Linked DNA regions of Ovis aries. The protein of the gene in region 1 interacts with the protein of each later gene in a biochemical or structural test. Links are inferred from orthologs where the notes say so. Each region holds a gene or a part of one and is shown on either strand. Other genes may lie near its edges.

Region 1 (4,296 bases):
TGATCTTACTTGAGATCCCTCTTCTATGTTCCCATGTCTCCACCCAAAGAAACCCAACAGTCCTTGAAGATCCCCTCCCTCCTAGTCATCAGCACTCGAGTCTACTGCTAACCCAGGCCTCCAGGCTGCCCGCAGCACTCCACACCTCCCGCCTGCCTCACCAAGCTGCTTCTCCTGGAAGACACATGTCTGCCTCGTGCGCATAGCTCCAGGGTCTGCTCAGAGTCACTGCCTGCTCACCAGCCAGCCTTCATGGGGCCCCCACCACACCACCTACCTCTGCCCCCACTGCCCCTCCTCATGTCCTTTAAGGCAAGTGGCCCAAGCTCTAGTTTCCCAGACTCATTTCTGTTACCTGTCCCTTTGCAGCAACCCAGAGTGAACAGAATGGTCTACATCAGAGAGCCAAGAAGAAGTCATTCAGAGAAGAGGAACCTACCCACGGACACACAGCACCATGAGACAGGCTGTCCCCCAGCATGACCGGCACCAGCTGGCTCAGACCCTCTGCCGCTCTGACCGGCCTTCCTTCCATTGGCACCCCTGGCCCTGCGCTGGCAGAACTGTGGCCTCCAGCCCCCCCTCTTCAGTCAGCTGCTGCCCAGCCCCCCGGGGCTCTGGGTCCCAGCTCAGCATCAGGAAGGAGGTGGAAGGAGAGAAGGAGGCCACAAACCCTGGACAAAAACCGGGACAGACGTGAGTGTTCCCTTTTGTTATTATTTTATTAATAAATTTAAGAACAGCTCTATGGTCTCTCTTCCCCCCAGAGCAACTAAAACAAACTAAAGGGGGTGTGGCCTGGGGGGCAGAGGGCGCTAGGAGTCATAATCCTCTTCTTCCTCTGCGTCAGGTGCTGAGGGGCCCGGGGGTGCTGGGGGCAGAGGCAGGGTCGAGGTGAAGGGCATGAAGGGTGTCGGGGGGCTGCAGGGGAGAAAGCAGTAAAGAAAGATCAGGCCACTCTCTGGTGCCCATCCCCACCCACTCAGCCCCACCTGGGCATCCCCGGAGCCCACTACCCTCTGTACCAACAGGGAGCAAGCCCAGAGAACGGAAGGACCCAGGGCAGGTCACACAGCCCCACCTAGCAGAAGAGGACCTTCTGAGAGTACAGTCCCCAGCCTTGAAGTCCTTCTTAGTTCTTCCCCTACCATCCCCCCAGTCTGCCATGACCAACAAAACCAAGTGGCTAGGGAGGCCAGGAGGGAGGCCAGAGTCAGTCTTGGGGTCAGTGGGCCCCTTGGTGCCACTTACCTCTGAAAGTGGGCAGGGGGGTGGCTGGCCTGGGGTGGGACCTGTGGTGTCTCCTCTTCTCCGTCACTGTCTGTATCCTCAGACTCATCCTGAGAACAAGGCAGGACTTAGAGACTAGAAGGGCAGGGCCCCATCACTGGAAAGCAGGGACAGGAGGCTGACCTCACTAACCCCAATTTACAAAGAAACCAATACAAAGGTCACAGGTGAGGGACCAGGCCCCCAGCCAGCTCATCCTGGCCTGGTATAGGGCTGCCCTGTCCACCCTATGGGCCAGAAGCCTAGGGCCTCACTCACCTCCTGCTCTGAGTCCGTCCCTGACAGCTTCTTGTCCTTGCCTTTGCTTCCCATCCCACCGTTCTTCCGGCCACTGCTGCCTGGCTTCCGGCCCCTTCGGGAAGGTACAGTACATCTGCCCACAGGTCTCCCCACTCCTTCACCACTCCCCAGCCATCCCCAAGTCCAGGGGCCTTGGCCTTCCCCACCTGGACACTGGTCCCTGGCACCCTACCTGCGGGGACCCTTGTCCCCATCCATGTGGTTGTCTTCTCCATCCCCCTGCATGTCAGGCACAGATGCCACCAGGTCCTTCAAGAAGTCAAACTGCTGCTCCAGCTCAATGCACTGTTTCCTGGAAGAAGTGGGAAGGGGTTGGCACTCGGATGAGGCCCAGACATCTGGGCCCTCAACAAGGGACAGTACGGACTCTGTGGATGTCAGGGGAATGGAACCTGGAAAATTTCCACCCCAACCCTCCCCCTTGGCCAGAACATCCTAATCCTCCTCCTCAAATCCACAGATCTCACAGCAGCCTACCAATTCCTTATCAGGGCACAGCCTCCCCCAGGCGTGTGAACTGGAGGAAGACCCCCAACTGGGCCCTCTAGGATCGGAGCCACTCACAGGTGGGATGTAGTCATGGTCTTGGCGTTTCGGGACTGGGTAACTTGGCATGCTTTCTTCAACAGAGACTCCAAGAAAAGCTCGAGCGCCCGAGCTGAGGAGGGTCAAGGAGAACGCAGGGTGGTGGCCCAGTCCACAAAAAGCGACCCCGGGGCTGCCGGGCTCCCCCACTCCCCCATCCCGACAGCTCCCGACAGGATACAGATGATGACAGGCACGGCCGCCGCCACCTTCCCAATCTCTTCATCCGTCTGCATGATCTTCTTGATTCGTGCCTGGGGAGGGGGCAGACAGCTCGGACCCCGTAGCCTCCGTCCCAGAAAGGGTGCTTAAGCCGGGCAGAGAGAGGGAGCATCCCGGGAGAAAGGGGGCGGGGGGCACCCACGCTGGAAGGGCACGGAAGGGGGCGGGGCGTACGGGGCCCCGAACACGGCGATGCGCCCGCCTCCCTAGTCCGGCCTGGGCCGGAGCTTCCCGAGAGCCCGGCCCGTTCCTCTGGGGCCCGCTCACGTGCTCACCGGCGGGAACCGCGCGTTGTACTTCTTCTTCTTGCTCGGCATCTCGGGGCCTCTCCCGCCGCGCCGGACCCAGCGCCGCCGCCCGCAGCCTCCCGGCACCCGGGCCTGCTCTTAGCCCGTCCGCCGCGGTTCCCCCGGGTCCTGGTGCCGCCGGCTCCGCCCCCAACGCTTCCTACAGGGTCCTAGCGCCGCCGGTCAGGACGCCGCCGGCAGGGCCCGAGCGCCCTCCCCCTTAGAGCCTCCCGGGCTTTGCGCGTCCGTCCGGGGCGGAACCGCCACTCCCGCCCGCCCCCAAGACCTGAAGAGCGAACGTTAGCTCCGCCCCCCAAGGCCCGCCCCTCCTCGCCTTCCCTGATGGCCCCGCCCCCATGGCCCCGCCCCTTCCCGGCCCCGCCCTGTGCTGCGTTTGTCTATAAAGTTCTTGTTGAGGCGCCGGGGTACTAAGATGGCGGCGGCGGCGGCAGCCGTGGCGGGGGCGGGGCGCGGCGGTGGCAGCGGCGCAGATCCCCGGCAGGAACGGAGCCGGGCCCGGGGCTGGCCCGGCGCCGAGCGCAGCGAAGGCCGGAGGTGACGCTGGGGTTGGCGGGAGGGGGCAGGACGGGGGCGCAGCTCGGGCCGTGGGCACTAATGGCGGCGGGCGCGGCGGGGCGGGAGGCAGGCTCTCCTGCAGCCTCTATCCAGCCGGGGTTCGAGTCCAGGCACCGCCCCGTTGGTCTCGGATCGGACACTGCCCGTTTCTCGCCTCAGTGCCCTCGTCTTTAAGTAGGTTGGATAACGCTCGCCCGGAGGCCTGGCCCCATGGGCCCTGCCTCGGTGCGGCGAGGACGTGTGCTTTGCCTCCCTCCATTAAATCCCAGCGCCCGGGAGAGCGGCCAGGCTCTGGCAGGGCCAGGAGGCGTAGCTGGGCCGGCGGTTCCCGCATTTGAATTGCCGTTTCGGCCCTATCACTCACTGAAGGTGTGACCTGCAGTGAGCCCCTTCTCTCTGAGCTTCGGTTTCCTCGTTTGTAGGTCAAGGAGAGCAGTAATAACACTAACTACATTTATATAGCTTTTGTTCCACCTCAGGCGGTTAATTCTGCACAACTGCTTGAGGCAGTAACAAGTTGTTATCCATTGTGGAGACGCGGCAGCCGAGGCCCAGGCCCACACCGTTCAGTTCAGTGCCTGGCACCCCCTGCTGCTGCTGCTGCTGCTGCTGCTGCTGCTGCTAAGTCGCTCCAGTCGTGTCCGACTCTGTGCGACCCCATAGACGTCAGCCCAACAGGCTCCCCCGTCCCTGGGATTCTCCAGGCAAGAACACTGGAGTGGGTTGCCATTTCCTTCTCCAGTGCATGAAAGTGAAAAGTGAAAGTGAAGTCGCTCAGTCGTGTCCGACTCTTAGTGACCCGTGGACTGTAGCCTACCAGGCTCCTCCATCCATGGGATTCTCCAGGCAAGAGTACTGGAGTGGGGTGCCATCGCCTTCTCCCTGGCACCCCCTAGGACTCAGCAAGTTGAGTCTGTCCCGGCCCTGCCCTGATTCGGTTCCCTCCCGCAGGATGGAACCAGGTGAGGAGCTGGAGGAAGAGGACTCTCCAGGTGGTCGTGAAGATGGCTTCACTGCTGAGCACCTGGCTGCAGAG
Region 2 (3,808 bases), on another chromosome or scaffold:
CCACATGTTCTTACATTGGGCCTTTTTTTTCTTTCCTCACAGGAAATGCTTTAGTTTTTAAAAAACTAAAAAGAAAAGGAAAAGTGAAGGCCTGTGCCTTGATATGTTCCTTAAGTTTTAACTAATTTGCAATCTAATATTAAGAAAGCTGATAAAATATTTTGTCTTAGCCATATGGATGATTATTGTGCACCGTAAAATAGGTAAAATTATTAGAAGACAGTAGTCTTCCCCTCCAAATACCTCCCTCTGCCACCCCCACCACCCCATTGGCAAGCTTCACAAAATATTCCACTGGTGAAGAAAAAGTGGTGTTTTATCACTTTCTGATATTTTCATATTTTCATTTTCCCAGCACTAGAAAGTTTAGGCTTTGGCTCTTATATCAGTGAAGTAAAAGAAGTCTTACAAGAATGCAAGACAGTAGCATTAAAAAGAAGAAAGGCCAGTTCTCGTTTGGAAAATCTCGGCATTCCCGAAGAAGAATTATTGAGACAGCAACAGGAATTATTTGCAAAAGTAAGTAACACATATTAACTTATTTCATGTGAATCTGACCCTTTTTTGTACACCAAAATCATACTGTTTTCTAAAATAATTTCCCAAGTCAATATGCATGTCCAAAATTTTGTTTTTGTGGCTGATTGTTTGATCATAGAGTCTGATGTTAGATCTGGCCAGTTTGACTCTATTTGGCCGGCTATTTACTTTACATAAAAGTAAATATTTGCAGCAGCCTGTTTTCTGAGGAGAACAACTCCGAATGACTACTGAGACTTTACTTTGATGTTTTTTTCAGGCAGAATGACCATTTAAAAGCATGAAAAGTATACCTTAACATTCGTAAGATTTAAACTGATGGACTGGTGAGAAAATATTTTATCAAATTTTTAGACGAACAGCATATAAAAAAAATCTGACTAACGTTTACTTTTTAGTTAACTTAGGTCTTTACTGCACCTTTAAAACACTCTGATCTTAAAAACTTTGAAGGGCCAGTGGAGCAGAGAAAGGCAGAAAACTTTTCTCCTTTTTCGCTTGTTCTAATGTCCAGTCTGTGGAGGATTAGCAACAAGAACTATTTGTTATTTCCCTCTGTTTTTAAAGAAAGGAGACCACCGGGAGCTGGAATTGAGTGGAGTTTGTGACTAGCCTCTCAGAATTTCTCCAGTGTTACTGCTCTGCCATCTTCTTGGCCTGCCTTAGCCCATTGTCAGAATCCTGGGTGCCTTCTTCATTCCCTTCCAGGTCCCTTGGTGACAGTAGAAACAAGCTCTGTAATATATTTTGGATCATCCCTCTGTGGAAGATCATATTTTCCAAAGATGACCACTATAGTATCTCTTACCCTTTGTCTCCATGACTCACTGTGCCTTCGTATTACAGCAGAGGCAACAAAGGCTGGCAGCCTTCATTATCTGGTAAAAATACCTAGGGATGAGGATTAGGAGATGAAGAAGCCCATGCAGCATGCAACACAGTTTCCATGTGGAGTGAATAACCCAACAACCAATATGCACATATACCCCATGCTGATGCAAAGAAAAAGCTTTCCATCAGTCCTTTCCACTCAGGCATGGGATGCACTGGGCCTGGTCCAGAATACCCACAGGCAAGAGCAAGAAGAAGAAATTGAGAGGGAAAAATTGGCCTTCCCTCCTCCTCTGCCAGGTTCCTTGAAGTTAGGGAGCAGGTAGTTACAGTGTACAACGGTTCTTTTCTTTAAAAAAAAAAAGTATTTATTTATTTATGTTTGGCTGTGCTGGGTCTTCATTGGTATGTGAACTTTTCTGTAGTTGCAGTCAGCAGGGGTTACTCTCTAGTTGCAGTGCAGGAGCTTCTCCTTGCGGTGGATTTTCTTGTCATGGAGCTCGAGCTCCAGGGCGCACAGGCTTCAGTAGTTGCAGCTCCTGGGCTCTACAGCACAGGCTCAGTAGTTGTGATACACAGGCTTAACTGTTCTACGGCATGTGGGATCTTTCTGGGTCAAGAATCGAACCCGCGTCTCCTGCGTTGGCAGGCGAATTACCACTGAGCCACGAGGGAAACCCTACAGTGATCCTTGAATGACTGAATATTCACTCCATGTAAGACTGAGAGCTTAATAACCTGGTTGTTAAGAATGCAGATCACTGACCAAGGCTAAATTTATCACCAGGGACTGAGATATCTTAATCATATTTTCACTTGCTCTTCTCTGTACCTTCTTCCTGTTTACCCTACAAAGGCAGGAGCAAGGAATTACAAACTTGAAGATTTACAAGAACAGCTTAAAAAATAGTCCATTCCATTTCTGGGTACTACTGAAATGCTCAGATTGCTCAAGCAGACTGTCTATAAGTACTGTCTATAAGTATAATAAAGCATTGAACTCACTTTCCAGTGGGAAGATCTTGAAAGTTAGACCTAAATCATTGGGTCAGAGGTGATTCTCTGGTAAAGAGGATGTAAAATACAGTGTTTCAGTTCCGTAGAGATACTTATTTCATCATAGGAATAGTGCTTTGTGGTCCTTTATAATTGTCTGTCCCTGCCCTCAGTTTGTAAGCTCGCTGACGGCTGGACCTATTATTAATTGTATCTTTAGAAAATCCCATGGACGGAGGAGCCTGGAAGGCTGCAGTCCATGGGGTCGCTGAGGGTTGGACACGACTGAGCAACTTCACTTCCACTTTTCACTTTCATGCATTGGAGAAGGAAATGGCAACCCACTGCAGTGTTCTTGCCTGGAGAATTCCAGGGACGGGGGAGCCTGGTGGGCTGCTGTCTATGGGGTCGCACAGAGTCGGACATGACTGAAGTGACTTAGCAGCAGCAGCAGCAGCAGCAGCAGCAGCAGCACCCATCTGACTTGGTAACTAGCACAGGGGGAGTATTCAGTAAATATTTGTTGAATAAATGACTGAGTTAAATTGATGAGTCAGGGAAGCACAGAATTCTAGGGGTGGAACAGACTTGAAATCATTTACTTTAACCTTGATCTTATAAATTATGATTCTGAACTTTGAGGAGGTTCAAGAATCTATTCACCATTATGGAAAAAAAAAGGAGGTGGGGAGAAGTGAGGCTGTTTTTTCCCTACAAAGTTCTGGCTTCTCAACTTGAAAATGGAAGACAGATTTGGTTTGAATAGAAGAGGTGAGAATTGATACAAGTTACTATAACTACTATTAGAACTAGGAAATACCATTTTAGGTCTTTTCCAGATTAGTTCCATAACTGATCTCTTTATAGTCATTAACAACCAGTTTGGTTTAAGTATTTAAATTTTAAGTTATCAAGCACTAGATACCAGATACCATTTAAACTGATAAGGAAGATAAAGCTTACCAATGTTTATTGAGTTCTAACCATGTGTTAATCATGTGCCAAGTGATTTACCAGTATCATTTAATCCTCACAACATAGAAAACAGGTACTTAAGTAGAAAAGCCTTTGAGGCAGGTAAGACCACATGCAAACAGTGTTGTAATCCATATGAATAGGAGGTACCAATGGAGGATTGAAAGTTTTTTTAAAAAGCTAGTGGCTATTATTTATTGAGTCTCTACTATGGGAGATCACCTACAGGGTGCCAGCGTAAATATTTGATAAAGGGAAAGATGCTCTGCTAAACATTTTATATACTTTGCAGAGTTTTCAATGAACAAAACAAATTTTACTGTACCCATTTACACTTTAAGAAACAGACTCAGAGATGGAGAGACTTTCATGAGATCATTTGTTCTACAGATATTTATTATTAAAGTCTTCACTATTTACCAGATACAGTGCTAGTTGCTAATCTTATAATAGTGTAAAAAAAGAC

Evidence for each region.
Region 2: the proteins of DRAP1 (region 1) and DR1 form a complex in vitro, tested with the Homo sapiens proteins (2 studies listed by BioGRID). The link is inferred for Ovis aries from reciprocal best matches to the Homo sapiens genes DRAP1 and DR1.

Annotation. Positions count from the first base shown.
Region 1 is NC_056074.1:40,463,536-40,467,831, reverse strand, and holds DRAP1 (dr1-associated corepressor), read right to left. Parts: upstream 2,847-4,296; 5' UTR 2,715-2,846; coding exon 2,673-2,714; intron 2,430-2,672; coding exon 2,357-2,429; intron 2,249-2,356; coding exon 2,155-2,248; intron 1,883-2,154; coding exon 1,763-1,882; intron 1,643-1,762; coding exon 1,549-1,642; intron 1,341-1,548; coding exon 1,252-1,340; intron 922-1,251; coding exon 816-921; 3' UTR 704-815; downstream 1-703. Other genes in the region: C21H11orf68 (UPF0696 protein C11orf68 homolog), read left to right, coding at 3,118-3,239, 4,212-4,296. UniProt on the Homo sapiens protein: The association of the DR1/DRAP1 heterodimer with TBP results in a functional repression of both activated and basal transcription of class II genes.
Region 2 is NC_056054.1:70,565,720-70,569,527, forward strand, and holds part of DR1 (protein Dr1), read left to right. Parts: intron 1-355; coding exon 356-519; intron 520-3,808. UniProt on the Homo sapiens protein: The association of the DR1/DRAP1 heterodimer with TBP results in a functional repression of both activated and basal transcription of class II genes.